Callithrix jacchus: one gene and its partners. The protein of the gene in region 1 interacts with the protein of each later gene in a pairwise test. Links are inferred from orthologs where the notes say so. Each region holds a gene or a part of one and is shown in the gene's direction. Other genes may lie near its edges. The genes, in order: SPTBN1, TNIK, CEP63, SH3BP5 and TRAF3IP1.

The links.
Region 2: the proteins of SPTBN1 (region 1) and TNIK interact in a two-hybrid assay, tested with the Homo sapiens proteins (2 studies listed by BioGRID and IntAct). The link is inferred for Callithrix jacchus from reciprocal best matches to the Homo sapiens genes SPTBN1 and TNIK.
Region 3: the proteins of SPTBN1 (region 1) and CEP63 interact in a two-hybrid assay, tested with the Homo sapiens proteins (2 studies listed by BioGRID and IntAct). The link is inferred for Callithrix jacchus from reciprocal best matches to the Homo sapiens genes SPTBN1 and CEP63.
Region 4: the proteins of SPTBN1 (region 1) and SH3BP5 interact in a two-hybrid assay, tested with the Homo sapiens proteins (2 studies listed by BioGRID and IntAct). The link is inferred for Callithrix jacchus from reciprocal best matches to the Homo sapiens genes SPTBN1 and SH3BP5.
Region 5: the proteins of SPTBN1 (region 1) and TRAF3IP1 interact in a two-hybrid assay, tested with the Homo sapiens proteins (2 studies listed by BioGRID and IntAct). The link is inferred for Callithrix jacchus from reciprocal best matches to the Homo sapiens genes SPTBN1 and TRAF3IP1.

Annotation. Positions count from the first base shown.
Region 1 is NC_133515.1:59,861,406-59,864,920, reverse strand, and holds part of SPTBN1 (spectrin beta chain, non-erythrocytic 1), read left to right. Parts: intron 1-16; coding exon 17-221; intron 222-639; coding exon 640-1,014; intron 1,015-3,515. UniProt on the Homo sapiens protein: Fodrin, which seems to be involved in secretion, interacts with calmodulin in a calcium-dependent manner and is thus candidate for the calcium-dependent movement of the cytoskeleton at the membrane.
Region 2 is NC_133518.1:15,589,148-15,593,266, forward strand, and holds the start of TNIK (TRAF2 and NCK-interacting protein kinase), read left to right. Parts: upstream 1-1,317; 5' UTR 1,318-1,632; coding exon 1,633-1,689; intron 1,690-1,823; exon of another isoform or gene 1,824-1,967; intron 1,968-4,119. UniProt on the Homo sapiens protein: Serine/threonine kinase that acts as an essential activator of the Wnt signaling pathway. Recruited to promoters of Wnt target genes and required to activate their expression. May act by phosphorylating TCF4/TCF7L2.
Region 3 is NC_133518.1:49,699,466-49,703,741, reverse strand, and holds the start of CEP63 (centrosomal protein of 63 kDa), read left to right. Parts: upstream 1-1,476; 5' UTR 1,477-1,603; coding exon 1,604-1,920; intron 1,921-1,962; exon of another isoform or gene 1,963-2,199; coding exon of another isoform or gene 2,200-2,356; intron 2,357-3,510; coding exon of another isoform or gene 3,511-3,581; intron 3,582-4,276. UniProt on the Homo sapiens protein: Required for normal spindle assembly.
Region 4 is NC_133518.1:54,070,082-54,072,441, reverse strand, and holds the end of SH3BP5 (SH3 domain-binding protein 5), read left to right. Parts: intron 1-390; coding exon 391-608; 3' UTR 609-1,853; downstream 1,854-2,360. UniProt on the Homo sapiens protein: Functions as a guanine nucleotide exchange factor (GEF) with specificity for RAB11A and RAB25. Inhibits the auto- and transphosphorylation activity of BTK. Plays a negative regulatory role in BTK-related cytoplasmic signaling in B-cells.
Region 5 is NC_133507.1:159,642,331-159,646,311, forward strand, and holds the start of TRAF3IP1 (TRAF3-interacting protein 1), read left to right. Parts: upstream 1-1,177; 5' UTR 1,178-1,329; coding exon 1,330-1,452; intron 1,453-3,981.

The DNA of each region.
Region 1 (3,515 bases):
TCCCTTTCTTTTTCAGTGAACGCATTAGCATGCGGCAGTCCAAAGTGGATAAACTGTACGCTGGTCTGAAAGACCTTGCTGAAGAGAGGAGAGGCAAGCTAGATGAGAGACACAGGTTATTCCAGCTCAACCGGGAAGTAGACGACCTGGAACAGTGGATCGCTGAGAGGGAGGTGGTCGCAGGGTCCCATGAACTGGGACAGGACTATGAGCATGTCACGGCAAGTACTTCAGACAGTGCGTGAGTTGGTTGTGCAGTGAGCGATGGTGTGGAGGCCCATTTGCATTCCTTATCTGTGACCAGATAAGATGCCCTGGACTCCAATCAGAGGTCTTGGGGTTTAGTTTTTAGGTGGTGTTTCTTTTATAAGCAGGAGACTTGCATTTAGATGGGCTAACCTCTCTGTGTACCCCTTCCCCCAGTAGTTAAAGGAGGTGGAGGTAGTGCCTCACTCTGCTGCAGGGAGCAAGAAGGAAACCTGATTGCTAAGAGGTTCTCGAACTAGGATCTGTTGTTCTTAAGTCATGAGTATTATGGTTACATCTTGCTTAGAGGCAGTTTATTTCCAAAGGCTATTCATGTGATCAAGAAATAGTTCACAATGGGCTCACTGATTTCCTTACCCATCTTCGTTTCAGATGTTACAAGAACGATTCCGGGAATTTGCCCGAGATACTGGGAACATTGGGCAGGAGCGCGTGGACACGGTCAATCACATGGCAGATGAACTCATTAACTCTGGACATTCGGATGCCGCCACCATCGCTGAATGGAAGGATGGTCTCAACGAAGCCTGGGCCGACCTCCTGGAGCTCATTGACACAAGAACACAGATCCTTGCCGCTTCCTATGAACTGCACAAGTTTTACCATGATGCCAAGGAGATCTTTGGGCGTATACAGGACAAACACAAGAAACTCCCTGAGGAGCTTGGGAGAGATCAGAACACAGTGGAGACCTTACAGAGAATGCACACTACATTTGAGCATGACATCCAGGCTCTGGGCACACAGGTGGGTAGGGCAGCCACCCATGGGTGGTAGGGAGGCTTTCTCTCTACCTCAAAAGAATTGTCCCAGTTAAGCACATACATGTACCCACTTTGTAATAGTGCTTCATTTGGGAGAACTTAACAGTCCATAAAAGTCTACATTTGCCACATTTGCAAACATTAGACAAGTGTCCCCATAATTAAATAAACCTGATGCATACACAGACACAAGTGAGTCACAGGCCTCAGCGAGAGTTTTTATTATGTTAGCATATTCATCCAGAACAATTTCCAAAATAATACCTTACTATTTTTTATCAACTGGGTTCTAAGTTATATGCCTGGAAAAAGAAAAACTGGATTTCTAACATTTTAGCATGCCTGGTCCCCAGTATAAAATGACTGGCACTAAGGCTTTGTTCAAAAGATATTTGACAAAGTAGTAACAATATAGCAAAATCTGGTGTAGTCACTCTCTAGTTTCCTTTCTGATCTCTGCAGTTTCTTATTTCGTCTTAGGCCTTTTAGTTGAAAAACAAATTGTATTTTTTTTCTTCTAAGTTTCATGGTACTAGAGAAGAAGCCAGTTTTATTAAAGATGTTATCCGTGGTGATGTCAGGGGTTTTGTTCTTGTTGTTAAGAGTATACTGAGTATCTAGATTATCTCAGCTTTTTCTGTTAAAAGCCAAGTAGTAAATATTTTCAGCTTATGAGACTCACACTCTCCGTTGCAGCTCTGCCCTCTGCCATTGTAGCATAAAGCAGATATAGACAGTGAGAAAATGAATGAGCTAGCTGTGTTCCTGTAAATCTTTACTTACAGAAACAGGCCGCTCATATACAGCCTTGGGCTGACCCAGTCTACTGCCTCAGCCTCTAGATGGCTTTGGTATACTTTGGGATTTGTTCTGTGAAGGGACCACCTTGGTTGTTGTTCTCTCTCACTTCTTCTTAATTCTTTTTTTTTTTTTTAAATTTTTTATTGCATTTTAGGTTTTGGGGTACATGAGCAGAATTCCTCTTAATTCCTAATTCCTGTCACTGTGACTGCAAGTTTAATTTACCTCTCTAAGCTTTGGTTCCCTAATAGTTTAGGGATTGAGATGCAAAATAATATAACATAATGAGATTTCTGTAAATGTTTTCTAATTATTATGGTATTACAAAAGTTTAGGAAAACATGGGACACCTAGAGACAGAATTAGAAAACACCTTAGCAGCGTAGGTCTTTCCTTTGCACCTGTAAAGTCATTTACTTTTAGAACTGAAAGACAGTTGAGACATAGTGGAGTTGCGGTCTCATTTTTTCATTAAATCCCTTCACCTCCTTAGACTTAGAGATGAGGAAGCCCAAGAAGGGTCTTGGAACATGCAGGGTGGGAATCTAGTCCTTCGAGTCTGACAGTCTGCACCTCACCACACCCACTGGGCTATGATGTTTATAGCTGTAAAAGGGATGTGTGTCTTACTGCAGGTATTGACCTGATCTGGGTTTATTTTCACAGAGTAACAGAGCAGGGAAGGCTGTTTATGCAGGCTCCCAGGAGCACGTGGTACTTCCCCTTTGGTTGTTTCCTTTTGTGCCAGTTTGACCTGCCACTGTCTCCATTCTGCACAGGAGCAGTGGGAGTGACACATAGCACTGATGAAGATCTTGAGTGTTTATACAAAGCAATAGTTAATATTTATGGAAATTTTCACTTGTTATCCTCTTCTACTTTACGTTTTATTGGGAGAAGAAATTTATAGAAAACAACCAGACACACGGAAACAGGTGTTTTAAAAAATGTGATTCGTTGTGTAGGAAAATTAGCTTTTCACATTATTTCCTAGGAATTTGCTCATTATAATTCAAGTTAAACCTGGGCATAATCAAAGAATATTTCCAAAAGTCACTTGGGATATTAAAATCAAATTACAATGGAAACCAAAGCCCACTGGTTCTTCTTTGCATCTTTTGCAGAAACTACTTTTTTTTTTTAACCTATTGTCACCTGAAGTCCTTCTGTGCAATCAGGAATCAGTAATCCACCTCCCTACAAGCCCTAGTGCTGTCTGTCCCCACCCCCTTTTACTCCACTTAGCATTTCTCCAAACACTACTCTCACAGACATCTAAAAGCTCTCATCATCCAGGACAGTTATCTGCAGACTTCTTTGATCATGCAGCTTTATCAGTAAATGATGATTGGGTGTCCATTCCCCTCTATGTATATATCTTTAATTAGACATTGTGCACAAGTGTGGCACTAGTAATGTTACGTACTTTATATAAGACATGTAAGAGGAGAAAATTTATAAAATTAGCTGCACTTATCAGCTTCAGTTATAAAGACATACACTGTCCCCCAAAAAAGGTAAGAGTGTATTCTTATTTTTGTTTTTACAGAGGAAGAATATTATGCACATTGTCTGCACTGTTTATTCCACTTAATCATCTTGGTGTGTTTTTCATGTTGACTACATAGAAGCCCTTCCTCATTCGTTTTCATGACTACATAGGAGCCTCCTGCTGGATGAACC
Region 2 (4,119 bases), on another chromosome or scaffold:
TTGGCTTTCACTCATTCATTCATAAGCCTTATTTTGAAGCTGATATTCATACTGCGTGATTAGGAAACCATCAGGACACGGGTCAGAAGAACATTCTGCTGTTAACAGAGGAGCAAAGAATGCTTTCAAAGCTACTGCTGTATTTGGGGAAAAGTTCAGTTTCAGTGTTTTCTTTCTATGTATTTTGCGTGGCTAAGGCGGGAGAAGAAGGGCTGCGCAGGGATTGGGGGAAGTGACTTCCCACTCTTGATTACAGAAGCAAGGTCATATATGCCACTGTAAAACATCCAACCTTCACAGGAGAAAGTGGGTGAAGTGAAGTCGCTCTCACGTACACATCTTCCGCGTTACTTCTTATCCGCTAACCAAACTTTCTCTGTCAATCTGGGCAGGTCTGCCTCGCAAACCAGCCGGGAAGAAACGCCGAGTGCCGAGGCGGTGGGCGTTGCCTCACCCAGTGTTGGCTTTGGAGTTACCTGAAGCCTTCTAGCTACTGCACCCAGAGAACAAGCTTCTCGTTTCAACTCGGTTGTTTCCGTGGGGAATTGCGACACGAGCAGGTCCTGGGTGTGGCGATGCCAAGAGAGCGCTCAGATCTCCCATCTTTCCCGCATCTGGCAAATCTTCCCAACCCCGAGTCGGCGAGTGACCGGCGCCCGGGACCAGCCGTCGGCATTCCGGGGACCGCGGGTGGACCCGACCCCGCCGCAGCTGCAAATTGCCGAAGCGCCCGGCTGGGTGCACTGTGCGTGTACGCATCTCCCCCACTCTCTCCGCGCCTGGAGGCGGATCCCCTTCCTTCCACACAAGTCCTTATATGCACCGTTTGCACCAGCCCGCGTAACTCCAGCCCCACAAATAATTAATGGGGAAGGGAGGGTGTTGCTTTTTTTCCCTCCGGCTCTTTCTCAGAGCAAGTGCATTTGAACCTCGCGGAGAAACCCCAGGATGCGATTGAAGGGCCATTTTGCTGCAGTGCACGAATTGGCCACAGAGAAATAGAGCTTGGGTCCCCGTGATAAGCAAGTCAAGGTTCAGGAACGGCCCTTCGCCTTCGCCCCGCGGAGCCCGCAAAAGCCTGGGCGGAAAGGGTGCGCGCCCCTCCCCCCTCCACGCTGGTGCAGAGGGACCGGGTCAGGAAGCGCGGCCTGCCGCTCCCCAGTCCTAGACCACGCCTCCTCCGCCTCCCCCCACCCCTTCACTCCTCCCAGGAAGCGGTGATAGACAGTTCTGTGTGGTTCTCCACCCCCACCCTCCCCCCGCGGAGTGGAGGAGTTGATGTGTCTCATTATAACAGCCAATGCAGCCGCCATCCACGCACAAGCAAAGAAGCATGTCCCATTTAAATACACCCACGCAGCCCCAGCGCCCTTAGCCGATCGGGGCGCTCAGCCCACACGCACCGCCGCTCCGGGCTTGGAGATCCGCGCAGGTTGGGCTCCCGGACCCGGCGGACCCACGCGCGGAGGACCGAGATCCGGCGCTGCGGGGCTGGGGTGGGCGGGGGAGGCTGGGCCCGGGGCCTCTGGCGCGGCACCCGCATGAGGACGCGAGTGAAATAGACCAAGGTGGAATTTCCAAGGGAGCAGCTTCGGGGTGGTTTTGGTCCATTTCTCCAGCGAAGAAGTAGACATGGCGAGCGACTCCCCGGCTCGAAGCCTGGATGAAATAGATCTCTCGGCTCTGAGGGTGAGTAGGACATGTTTTCTGGTTTCTTTCCAGGGGTTTGGGTCAGGGTGAATGAACTCGGTGCGTGGACTGGGGGCTGGGGCCGGGGCTGGGGCTGCTGGGCGGCAGCGGGAGAATGCGACGGGGAGGGAACCGGGATTTGCGTTTTGATTCGGGGCTGTGGGGTGCTCCCGGCTGAGTCCCTACGGCAAGGGCTGTGCGGTGCAGTCTTCCTTTGGCAGTGGCCGAGGCGCCCCCGAGGGCTCGTGGAGCTTATGCCAGTTTCATCGTAGACCGGTGTAAGAGCATTAAAATGAAAGGCGTGTGTGTGTGTGTGTGTGTGTGTACACGCCCCGGGCAGTTGTCTGGTGCCAAGGCGCGAGACCCGACTGTCCCTTCTGCAAAAAGAATGCCAGCGTGAAGAAAGGCACTGGCCCCTCACGTTTTCCAGCTACCTGCAAGAAGACACTGAGAGGCTGGCTCTCCCCGGGGAGCCGAACCTTCCGCTCCGAGGGGCAGTTATTGCTATGCTGGTCTTGTAGATGGCAGCTGCCTCCCCCTCCCCCTTTTCTGCCTCCCGCGCCCGGCGCCCTCTCAGCGCTCCCTCAAATGCCAGTCTGCCACTCACCTTTATTTATGGCTTTAACTCAGCCCTGCCTGTGCTTTCTGACTTCGTGGCTGTAATGTTTCAGTTTTATGGCTGAACTTAACGCAGGTGAAAGGGATGTGTTTTCTGCTTTTCCTCAATCAGACCGGAACTCCCTGGAGTGTGTGTGCGTGTGCGTGTGTGTGTGTGTGTGTATGTGTGTGTGTGTGGTTTCCCCGTGTCTGTGGCCAGTCCTTTGTAGAGCACCTCCCTCCCCCAGCCCCACTGGTTTGCGTTTACCTTCACGTGAATTACCTCAGACGCCGTTTCACTGTATTGACTAAGACATCACTGATATAGAATCCATTTTGCTGTTGTTTTGAGATCAGAATACCAGGAATCCCAGTGCTGCCTCGACGCTTCCCCACCCCCAACTCTCGATCCCAACACACTCCTTCGGGGAAGGGGGCAGAGCTTTCTTGCCATTTTAATTAGATACTGCCTGCCGGGAAGGGGGTGAGGGGTGGGGATGGTGGCAGCAGCGGGTGTCTGAGAAGGATTGGGCACCAATTTAAGGCCGGCTTCTTCCTCTCCCGAATCAAAAATTAAATTTAAAAAATAGCGAGTGCATAGACTTGATGTATGGAGGGTGGGTGAGAAGGAATTGATGTTGGCTCTCCACAGGGCGACACCGGGATGGATGAAGCATGGAAGTTCACACGCCCTCCTGAGGAATACATTGTTAGATTGATGCTGGATCTTGGGGCCATTTACCTGGATTCATAGTACTTCTGACATTGCCTCTTTCAGCACCGATATTTTAAAGAGCTACCTTTGTGGTCAAAGTGGTACTTTCTCTTTGGTCTCCTTAATTAAAGCTTTCTTTCGCCTGTCTTTTAATAACCCTTTCTCTCCTCGTCGTAATCTGTGGGGCCAAGAGGCGAGGTTTCAGCAAGGCAGGTAATGAGTTGAGAAGAAACAGCTGCCGTTTGCAATGGGCTGTTCTGATAGTTGGGCAGCCAGAGCTCATTCATGCATTATTACAGGAAGCTGTCTATTTCCCTGGAGTCGAAATGCCACATCAGGAACTGGCTGCCCCCTGCGCAGCGGGGTGGGGTTGGTAACAGGGTGGGTGCTTTGGCCAGGTCTGTGGCTTCCTGCTTTACCGACTGTGTGTGTTCATTTGCCCTACTTTCTGCGCTGGGAGTTGCTGCGGGCGGGTTAATCAGGTGGATGGATGGCCCAGACTGGGGGTGGGGTGCTGCGAATCGGTGGGGGGTTGGGGGGGACAGTGGCAAAGGGGGACGGGGTCTGAATAATGCACAGGGCTTGCAGTGATTTCCCTGGGCCGGAATCTCGACCTTGCTCCTCTATTGGAAAGCAGTCTGATGCGATTTTAAGTTTGGCCAGGGCATGTCCCTTGTGGGCTTTTTCCTGGGGAAGGTTTTCTGAGATACCAAACACGGAGCCTGCAGGTACAGCAGCAACCGGTGAGGGCCCACTGGGTGGACAAGTGCGGTTCGCACTTGGGATGTGTGTTCTTATGATCTGTATTTTGAAAAGACATCTTTGCACGATTCACTGAAATTGTTCTTTGTGGCCTGGGCTGCCTCTGTTTTTCTGCCTGCTGGGAGGTGTGGAAACAGAGAGGGCAACAGCTAGTTTGGGGGACCAGGAACTGCTGGCTAGAAGATGTGGAGACAGTTATATCTCGGAGGGCCAGGGTCTTTGACCAGCCTTGTGGGTGAGGTGTGCCTGCTGGAGTGGGTCCAAAGGCCACATAGGTAATCTCCACAAATCAGAGGGCAGATCATCTCTACCTTCCCACATTCGGAGAGGGGGGCTCATCTAGACGAGAAGTCTCA
Region 3 (4,276 bases), on another chromosome or scaffold:
TAAAGCCATTTCCTTTACAAGCTCAACTTCAGACATTGCCTTGCCTTGAGGATTTGTACAACTCTGGTCTGTAGTTGGTCCCTTCGTATACTCCACCTCAGTGTCATCTCAGTATGTTCATGAGCTCCTGTGCTTAGGAATGCTGAGGTTTGGGCCAAAGCAGGTGGAAGCTTTTGTAAAAATGGCTCACAGACGTCCCCCATAGGGTAACTGCAAGGTATTCCTACTCCTTGGCAAAAATTATACACAGATTGGTATGGGCAAGGGTTCTTACCCCCATGATAAGGATCTGGGCAAAAGTTAAGCAAAATGTGTCTTGCTACTTCTATCACCGGTGAGCCAGGTGAGGTCTTAATTAATCCAGTACTCAATAATTAACCCAGTACTACCCAGTGGATAACTCAAAGCAAGACGAAGTTTTGGTTATACTTTCGTAGTCCCCGTCTTACAAGAGCTCCCCACTTTTGTGCTGCTACTCCTTCGTCCTTGCTGCTCTGTCCCCTGGGATACCCTTCTCACTTTCCTCAGCTGATCCAAACATTTCCCCAGGCCCACACAGATTTTCCACCTTTTAATACAATTTTCTCAAATCACTTGAGCTTCATAGGCCTTCTATCCTTGAACTCCTGTTTCTTGTCCTAACTTAATCTACTAAACAAGCTAGGTCAGCTTTGTGATAACTGCTCAGGTATTATTGTCTCCAACTGTTAAGGGTACATTTTTTACCCATGATTTCTTAGATCTTTCCACAGTTTGGCCTCAATCTTTGTCACCTGTCCCTTCACCAAACACCTCCAACCATGTCACATTTTCCAGCCTTGGCAATTAAAATCCCCTTTTCCACATCACTAATGCTACTCTTCCTTTCAAGATTAAAGCAGGCGTCAGCTCTTGAAGATCAACATCCCATTTCCAGGGTTAGATGCAAAGGTGCCTTCACTCATAAGGGACCGGAAGGATCGGAAGCATCAAGACAATCAATGCCCAGGGCACAGTCACCGTCCCAAGTACTCGTCACACAGCACGACCACTGTTTCCTGAACAAACTTTTCTTACGTTACAGTCCCAATGCTTGCAATGTTCTTTTTTTCTCTTCCTTTTTATTCCAGTGAACCTCTAAAAATCTTAGGTCCCAGGGAGCTTCCTGTAGGAGGCCGCCTCCAAACCCCAGGCTGAGCGCGGTCCTAGTACCTACCCCTCCAAGGATCGCACAGTTCCCTGAGCACACAGCAGGGCACCAACTGGGGAGTTTGTCACACAGCCCAGATGTATTTCTTTCCAGACACGCGGTGCCAGCGTTTCCCAGGACAGAAGAATGTCTTAACAATCTCTATGTATTATATATATATAGCTTCGTAAACATGTATTTATTGAAGTCAAGGCTGGAAAGCCTTGTTCCTCGCTAGAAATGAGCCTCGCAGGCCACCACCGTCAGCGCCGTACGTGAAGCCGCCCGTCAGCTGCGGCTTCCGGCCTAAGGCAGGAGGTGCCAAACGTGGAAGCGCGGATGGGGAAGTCTGGAGGCGCCACCCAATTCCCTTTCCTCCCGACACAACGTGCAGTAAGGGAAATAGTTATGAGTTTAAAGTGACGACCTCAGCCGATGGGAATACGGGAAAGTCCGACACTGAGAAACGAACGCATTTCTGCGCCCCCAAGACCTAGACCAGGGTCGCTGGAAACCCTTACCAGCATCCAGCACACAGCAGCTGGCGCTTCCTCCGGCCACGCCCTCAGCATCACTAGTCCCCACGCTCTTCCCTCGGATTCCCGGATGTGGGTGAGTCCATTTGCTTGCGGGCCGGGGAAGTCTGAAGGAGAGTTTCAATTAAAAGTGTGGGGGCAGTGGGCGGGACGAACGCGCCGACAGAGGCTGGTAGTATGCTCGGCGGTGGCGCGCGTGCGCTGCGCCGGCCTGAGGTAACGGCGGGAAAAGTTCGGGGGCGCGCTTGTCGCAGCTTTGTAACCGCTTGTGCGCACGTCGGACGGGCAAGGGGCGGGCGTGCCCTGGTCTGGAGGCGGCCCATGCTGCCGTGGTGACCCTGGCTTCGTGGCCTCATAGCTTGCGGCTGGTTCCCGCCACAGCCTGCGAGTCACCAGGCGCGTCCCAGCCGGCTCGGGTCAGCCTCCGAGACCCGCCCCTCGACCTTACCTGCTGCGCCACGCAGACCAGCGGAGTCGGGCTTGGCGCTGTCGGGCATGGCGCCGTCCGGCGCGCGGGTTCGGCTCTGCCAGGTGGTCAGCCCTTCCGCGGAGACCGGGCGGTGGGGGTCACCTCGGAGGGTGGCCAGGGGGGCCGGCGTGCTGCGGCCAGGACTCACTTTGCCCGGCGGACCCACCATCCCTTTCAGCGCAGGTACCCCAGCGCCGCCTCCCTGCCGGGGCTGCTGTGTAGCTAACGCTGTTGGGACTACTTCATTCATCTCACAGGGGACCTGCTCATTCACTTGAAGACAGTACATCTAGGCTTATAATGTGGTTTTTCTTATGTCCCTTACGACATCAGGAAGATGAGTGCGATGTCAGATACTAGTCATCTTTTATACTTTCAGCACCGTACACTAATATGCATAAAATAGTTTTCCCTGAGCCTTATGTCCGATTAAACTGATTAAAAGAATTTTTTCCTTTGAAGAAGCAGTATTGTAGGGTAGGAACGCGTATTTATACGGTTCCTCATGTGTTAGCTTTTATTAGACAAGAAGAAATCATAAGGATCATTAATTAGATTTCTGTTAGTTGTAGCTTAATGATATACTAAAGTGTGTATATTATTTGGAATGCAGTATGATTTGTAGATCGATCTTGCCTTTTGACTGTAGTTATCAGTGATCAGGTAGTAAAAAAAGGCTCTGAAATTAAAATGAGGTAGAGATTTATAAACAAGCGCACTGCCTTTTAAAATATATGTAGATTCAAATCTAAAAGCTGTAAAAATTAATGTTGATTGTACTGATGCCATTTCCTCTCGTTAAAAGGTGAAAGACCTTTTCTTAGTTTTTTCTGTTCTCATTTATGTTGTGCTGGCAGATGGTGACAGCATCAGTAGTCGACTCTGTCATAGCTTCCTGCTTTCAAAAAATGTCTACTTGACTTGAAATTCAGCTAAAGCCAACATTGACATAAGGTTTCAGGAACTGAATCTCTGATCTCTATGTTATTTTAGCCCCCCCCCAGCTAGGTTTTTTTCAGTTTTACAAAGCCACAATACTGTCATTAAACGTATACAAATTAATAAAAATTCCCTAATGTCAATATCTAGTTAGATTCCGAATTCTTCAACTCTCTCCTAAATGTCTTCTTACAGTTAGCTTGTTTGAACCAAAATCCCACGTCTGCCTGTTACCTTTGGGTGATACACATTTGACATTTTTTAATCAATAACAGTTCCCACATAGCTATAGCTATAGGACTGGCCCTTATTTTTCCTTGCAGTTCTAAATTTAGCAGATTGCATTGCACAGTATCTTTTAACACGTATCTGTGTTGCCTTTATGTCCTCTAAACCAGGGTTTCCCGACCCCGGGGCCGCAGAGCACTACGGTCCGTGGCCTGTTAAGAACCTGGCTATAGAGCAGGAGGTGAGTGGCAGGAGAGTGAGCATCACCTACCACCTGAGCCCTGCCTCCTGTCAGATCAGCCATGAGGTTAGATTCTCCTAGAAGCACACCCCTATTGTGAATTACGCAGGCGAGGAATCTAGGTTGCACGCTCCTTATAAGAATCACTAACTATTGGGAGGCTGAGGCGGGTGGATCACGAGGTCAAGAGATCATCGAGACCATCCTGGTCAACATGGTGAAACCCCGTCTCTACTAAAAACACACACAAAAAAATTAGCTGGGCATGGTGGTGCGTGCCTGTAATCCCAGCTACTCAGGAGGCTGAGGCAGGAGAATTGCCTGAACCCAGGAGGCGGAGGTTGTGGTGAGCCGAGATCGCGCCATTGTACTCCAGCCTGGGTAACAAGAGCGAAACTCTGTCTCCAAAAAAAAAAAAAAAGAATCACTAACTAATGCCTAATGCTCTGAGGTGGAACAGTTTCATCCTGAAACCATGTCCCTAACCATGTCCATGTGTATTATTCATATTAGTCAAGAAGTGGTTTGGCCATTTCCCCCAAACAACATTTCATATGAATTTTCACAAAAAAAAAAAAGACAAAATATGTTATTTTCACCCTGTCGGTGGAAAAATTCTTCATGAAACAGGCCCCTGGTGCCAAAAAGGTTGAGGACCACTGCTCTAAACCAGTAGTTAGATGTAGAATTGCACT
Region 4 (2,360 bases), on another chromosome or scaffold:
ATTACCTGGTCTCTGGTTGTGCTGTCAGTGTTGATCACTGAGGTTATTTCCAAGTGCTGTTCTGGGGAGGCTCCTGGCTCCACTCAGCTTCTATAAAGTAGGGCTTAGGTCCTGTGTCTCACATCAGAACAGTCTCCTTGGCAAGCACATAGTAGAAAGGTTTGTTTCTCAGCTATAAAGTGAATATGGCAAATTTCATCTCTAAAGTCAAGGAATATATAGAACATCACAAGGAATAAAAGCAGTAAGTGATTACATACTCAGAACCTCCCGGATAGGCACAGAAGGCAACACTGGGAATTCCACAGGGCTGAGTTAGCTAGTTGGTTTGAGCCCAAAGTGACTTAAAATTGTCAAGACTCACTTTTGATAATCTTTGTATTTCTATAGGAGACAGGGCAGAAGGGGCAGAAAATAAAACAAGTGACAAAGCCAACAACAACCAGGGCCTCAGCAATAGCAGTGGCGGTGGTGGCAGCAGTAAGAGCCACAGCAGCACCTCCCCTGAGGGCCAGGCCTTGGAGAACCGGATGAAGCAGCTCTCCCTACAGCGCTCAAAAGGAAGAGATGGGATTATTGCTGACATAAAAATGGTGCAGATTGGCTGATTCATCCTGGGCCCTGCCCATGTGCGTATCAACATTTATACATGGAACTGGAGAACATTGTGCCAATAATCATTTAATATATGCCAAATCTTACGCGTCTACTCTAAACTGCACTAATGAAGTTTCAGTGACCTTGAGGGCTGAAGATGGTTCTGGGTAAGAGTCCTGAGCTGGTTTGTTTTTCAGAGCAGAGTTGTCGCAGGCAGACTGTGACCAGGTTCACAGCCTTTGTGGAACATTCCTTGTAATGGCACTGTGGAAGCAATAACTAGTTCCTATGAAAGAACCAGAGCTGGGAAGATGGCTGGGAAGCTAAGCCAAAGTGGGGCCAACAGCTTGCTTCTCTTTCTCTTCTCACCCTCAATTTTGAATGGGAAAATGGAGATTTCACTCCACTTTTACCCCATGATAGCTAAATGATAAGGAAAACCCACATACAAAGCAAAAACTCAAGTATTGAGAGCACATATTTTTGACCCGGTGGAGGCTTAAAAAAATCCAAGAACACAACTCATTTTCATCACCTCTGGTGTTCAGAGGGGGCTTTTTAAAAAGCGTGTATGCTAAGATACCCATTAAAACCATTTCTAGAAAGGCTACCAAGAGCTGCACTTTTTGGGATGGGGAAGGTGAATGCCAGTGGGGATGGGGGGGGCATGAGGGTAGGAGGGACTTATCATAGAAGGGAATCTGTGGCTGTGGGGGAGAAGGTTCTACAGCATAAACCTTATTCTGCCGGCTAAGGGGATTTATTCTAAGAGAAGTGCATGTGAAGAATGGTTGCCACTGTTATTAGATTGACAAGGTGTTAATTTATCTGTAGGTTGTAACTTTAAAAATAAACGAAATTATTTAAGGGTTATGCTGCACTAGTATTCCTTAGAGGAAACTTCTTTAAAGCTAGGAAAGGGAGTGGGCATGTGTTGGCAAAGGCTGTTAAATAGAAGCAACAGAGTCTGTTATGTTAATAGTAGTAAGTGTTAAGACTGCTTTTCTTTAATGTTTTCATGGTAATGCATATTTAGAGCACTGTATTTTTGTCTCGTTTTGTTAAGAAAATTTAGCATTTCTAAAAAAACCCTCTTTCAAATTGTTAATTCTGTCACAGCCTGTATATTTTAGTCATTTGTAAATCTCTTCATACAACAGTGACTCCTCCTTTTTTGACTGATACAGTATCCTAATTACAAGGTTATTTTGTACTTGTCTTAATACATTGAGTGTAATAAAAACCGCTTGAGAAAAGTTTCCTCTGTGACTTCAAATAAGAACTCCCAGTATTGTCTAAATCTTCTATGCCACCCTCTTGCCATAAGGAAGAACATGGAGTGCTGTGGTCACCAGTAATCATTTTCAATTAAGGTTTTGAAGAACAGTAGTAATTTAAGCCTTGATTACCAAGGTTTGAGTTCTACTTCTGCTGCTGCTAAAGCTATGGGCAATGAGGAGACACAGTGACAGATAAATAAAGATGATGTGGTGATGCTGGAGGAATGGTCCTCAGCCTCAGCTGCACACTGCAGTCTCCTAGGAAGCTTAAGTGTTGCTGTCAGGTCTCTTCCCCAGAGTTAATTAACTGGGGGTACACTTGTGCATCAGACTTTTAAAAGCTCCCCAAGGGGATTTCAAATGTGCATTCAGAGTTGAGAATCAGGTGGATCCTTTGTCTTGTGGAAATGTTATAATGGTGGACTCTTAATCTGCATTTCATTATTAAAACATGCTGTGGAGAAAAAGGTCCTTCATTGGCCA
Region 5 (3,981 bases), on another chromosome or scaffold:
AAATCTTGAAGGCTGCCAGAAACACAATAGACAGAACAAAGAATTACAGAAGACTTTTTTTCTTTGAGACGGAGTTTCACTCTTGTTGCCCAGGCTAGAGTGTAATAGTGATCTCGGCTGATTGCAACCTCCGTCTCCCAGGTTCAAGTGATTCTCCTGGCTCAGCCTCCCGAGTAGCTGGTACTGCAGGCATGCGCCACCATGCCCACCCGGCTAATTTTATATTTTTAGTACAGACGGGGTTTCTCCATGTTGGTCAGGCTGGTCTTGAACTCGTGACCTCAGGTGCCCACCTCGGCTTCCCAAGGTGCTGGGATTACAGGCGTGAGCCACAACGCCTGGCTGTATGGAAGATTTTTATTCTGAACCTATGCAAGCCAGAAGTCAATGGGGTAACATCCTTAAAGTACGGAAAAAAAAAAACAAAACCCAGTCAAGTTAGAATTTTATACTTTTTGTTTGTTTGTTTTTAAAGACAGAGTTTTGCTGTGTTGCCCAGGCTGGGGTGCGGTGGCGCGACTTCGGCTCACTGCAGTCTCTGGCCCCCGGGGTTCAAGCGATTCCTCAGCCTTCCAAGTAGTTGGGGTTACAGGCACACACCACCACGACCGGCTGATTTTTGTATTTTCAGTAGAGACGGGGTTTCACCATGTTGGCCAGGATGGTCTCGATCTCTTGACCTACTGATCCGCCCGCCTGGGCCTCCCAAAGTGCTGGGATTACAGGCGTGAGCCACCGCGCCCGGCCAGGACAGTCTATTTTCCATTCCGTGTGTTTTGGGATAACAGCTCCATCCCCTCCGATGAACCAGTGCCCGCGAAAGCCCTTGAGATTTGGGAAGCAGGCGGCCCAGATCTTGGTTTACCCCGCTGTGCATCAGTCCTCAGGCGGTGGCCTCTAAGGCGAGCCAACACCCACTTCGCGAGGCCGTCGCTCCGCATTGGAGGGGCGAGGCGCGGGACCCCGGACCACCTTCCCCCGCCCCGCCGCGCCCCCCTCGTCTGCGCACGCGCGGACGCCCCCCCGCCCCCCCCCCTCCGGCGGAATCCCCCTCTTGTTTGCGCCGGCGCAGGACGGTAGACGCGGATGGGGCGCCGCGGCGCGTCCGTTGCTAAGGCCGCGCAGCCCTAGCGACCGAACGCCTTGCGGCTTCCGCGCAGGCGCCGTGGCGGGCTCCGGTGCACTGTGGGATGGAAACCGTAGCGGCGCGTCCTGGCGGGACCGGGCTGTGGCTGCGGGGCGGGCGACGGCGGCGGGGCAGGCGGCGGCCAGGGACCCGGGCTTAGGCTCGGCCGGGTCGGCTGAGGGGCGTGGGCAGCGGAGGCTGCCATGAATTCGGCGGTGGTGAGGCGGACGCAGGAGGCGCTGGGGAAGGTGATCCGGAGGCCGCCGCTGACGGAGAAGCTGCTGAGCAAGCCCCCGTTCCGCTACCTGCACGACATCATCACCGAGGTGGGCGCCGGGGGCCGCGCCGGGCCAGGGGCGGGTCGGGGTCCCGGTGGGCGCCGGGTGTTAGCCAGGGTCGGGGGCCGGGGCTGGGCCGGGGTCAGGGCCCGGGCCGGGCTCGAGGTGCAGGTAGGGGACCAGGTCAGGGCCGAGTGTGGACCCGGTGTGGGCCGGGGTCGGGGTGCAGGTCGGGGACCGGGTCAGGGCCGGGCGCGGGGTGCGGTTAGGGGGCTGCAGTCAGTCCCGGGGTCGGGGCCAGAGCTCTGTGCAGCCCCTGCCCCGGAGCCCGGCCTGTAGGCCCAATTCCGCGGCGCCCTCCTCGCGGACGTCTGACCCCTTCCCCCGCTCCCGGCCGCTTACAGGGAGGCTCCGGGCCCTCGGGGAGCATTCTTAACTTCTTCCCTGCCTGTCCGTGTATCTCTTTAGAGCGCATCTTCCATTCTGCTCCCTCCTTGTGTAACCCTGGGGAACCCCTCTCGCTTGCGCTGGAGCATGTAACACATGGAAGGCGCTCCCTAAATCCTGGGACAATGGAAATAATATTTTTTGTACAACTCTCCTGCCTCAAAGCTGCCCTCCATACCCTATTTTGGGTGCTTGATAAATGTCTGTGGGTGAATTTAGTGGAGGTGGTTGTGGGGAGACTTGGTAGGAACAGCTGTAACAGAGCCGCATAGCCTGCCCTAAATTGAAGATTGGTGGTCTGTGTGGCTTTTCCCCGCTTGCGGGTGGCGTGCTCCTTAGTGACGGAGACCCTGCTTGTCAGCATGGCTCTGGTGATCTGCCCTGGATCAGGTACATAGAAATTCACAGCAAACATCCCCTGTTGCGTGGGACCTGTCACGGCTCCGGGTAACTCCCTGGTAACTCTCAGGAGCGTCACTGCAGGGGGTGCAGCACCCATTTGCAGGGTGCACCCAAGGGCACATGGGAACTCAGAGGTGTGTTCTGGGATTGAGGATTCAGGTCGGACTTGGAGACTTCCGGGGGCTCATGAGCTAACCTGGTGATGGGCCTTAAGCTCCAGTTCTCACTCTTTTCTACAGGTTGGGTGCCGTATTCTTACACAGACATCGCTCTTCTGGTTCTGCCCTCCTACCTTGGCTTCCAGTGTACGCTCTCCTGGAGCCTGTGCCTCTGTGTTAAGACAGTGCTTAAAAATGCTCTTGAATCCACCCACATCCCAGGGCACCGCCAGCCCTGGTTATGTCCTCCCAACTGGTGCAGCACTTACAGCTTGTCCTGGGCAGTGTGTGGGGAGGGGACCTGCCGTGTGGATAGGCTTGTAGGAGCAGGACAGTGCACATGTCACTCCTGTGAAGTAGGCAGGGCCTACGTCCTCTGCCCCAGAGGAAACAAGTAAGAGCCAATGTGAGCCCAACCCACCACAGCTGTGGCTGCCAAAACCTTTAATCTTCTCCCAGTCCTGCCTGCCCCACTGAAATGCAGAGCCCTAGGAGTGAGGTGCAGGGAGTGTGTCTTATCCTTGTGGGGTAGTGGTGCAGCTCAGCTCTTGGTGACGGTCCAGTCACTACTGCATAGCTGGTCAGAGGCATCCTCGTGGGAAAGGGCCACCCGGGGGCGGCTCACACCTGCAATCCCAGCACTCTGGAAGGCCACAGTAGGCAGATCACTTCGGCCCAGGAGTTCAAGACCAGCCTGGCCAACATGGCAAAACTCCAGCTCTACGAAGAATACAAAAATTAGCCGAGTGTCGTGGTGCACCTGTAATCCCAGCTACTCAGGAAGCTGAGTAGGGAGAATCGCTTGAGCTCAGGAGGTTGAGGCTGCAGTGAGCTGTGATTGCACCAGTGCACTCCAGCCGGTGTGACAGAGTAAGACCCTGTCTCAAAAAAATAAATAAATAAATAAAAGGATCGCCTTCCTGGCCAGGTGGCTAGGGTGTGGGACTAGTTGTGTGTTCCCAATTAGGAATGACTGGTCTGCTCTACTCCCAGAGACTTCCTCATTTATGCCAAAGTTCGTTTTTCTTCTTGTGTAAAGATCAATACAGGAATTGTCACCTACTTGATAAAGAGGCTAGAATGACTGACATATTGGAAAGCATTTTGAGATAATAGGTGGAAAGGGTCTTATGAAAATGCTTTATTATCCTAAATATTATACTCAAATCACCATATTAGTATTTAAGCTACAGCTAAACTAACCATCCCTTTCATTAAGCTAAGTGTGGATCCTGTGATATTAATGTCTCTTGTCACTTACAGTTATTGCTCACAATTTTTTTTTTTTTTTAGAGGGAGTCTTGCTCTGTCACCCAGGCTGGAGTGCAGTGGCACGATCTCGACTCACTGCAACCTCCACCTCCTGGGTTCAAATTATTCTCCTGTCTCAGCCTCCCGAGTAGCTGGGACTACAGGCACATGCCACTATACCCAGTGTTAACTTTTGTATTTTTAGTAGAGATGGGGTTTTGCCACATTGGCCAGGTTGATCTTGAACCCCTGACCTCAAGTGATCCACCCACCTTGGCCTCCCAAAGTGCTGGGATTACAGGTGTGAGCCTCTGTGCCC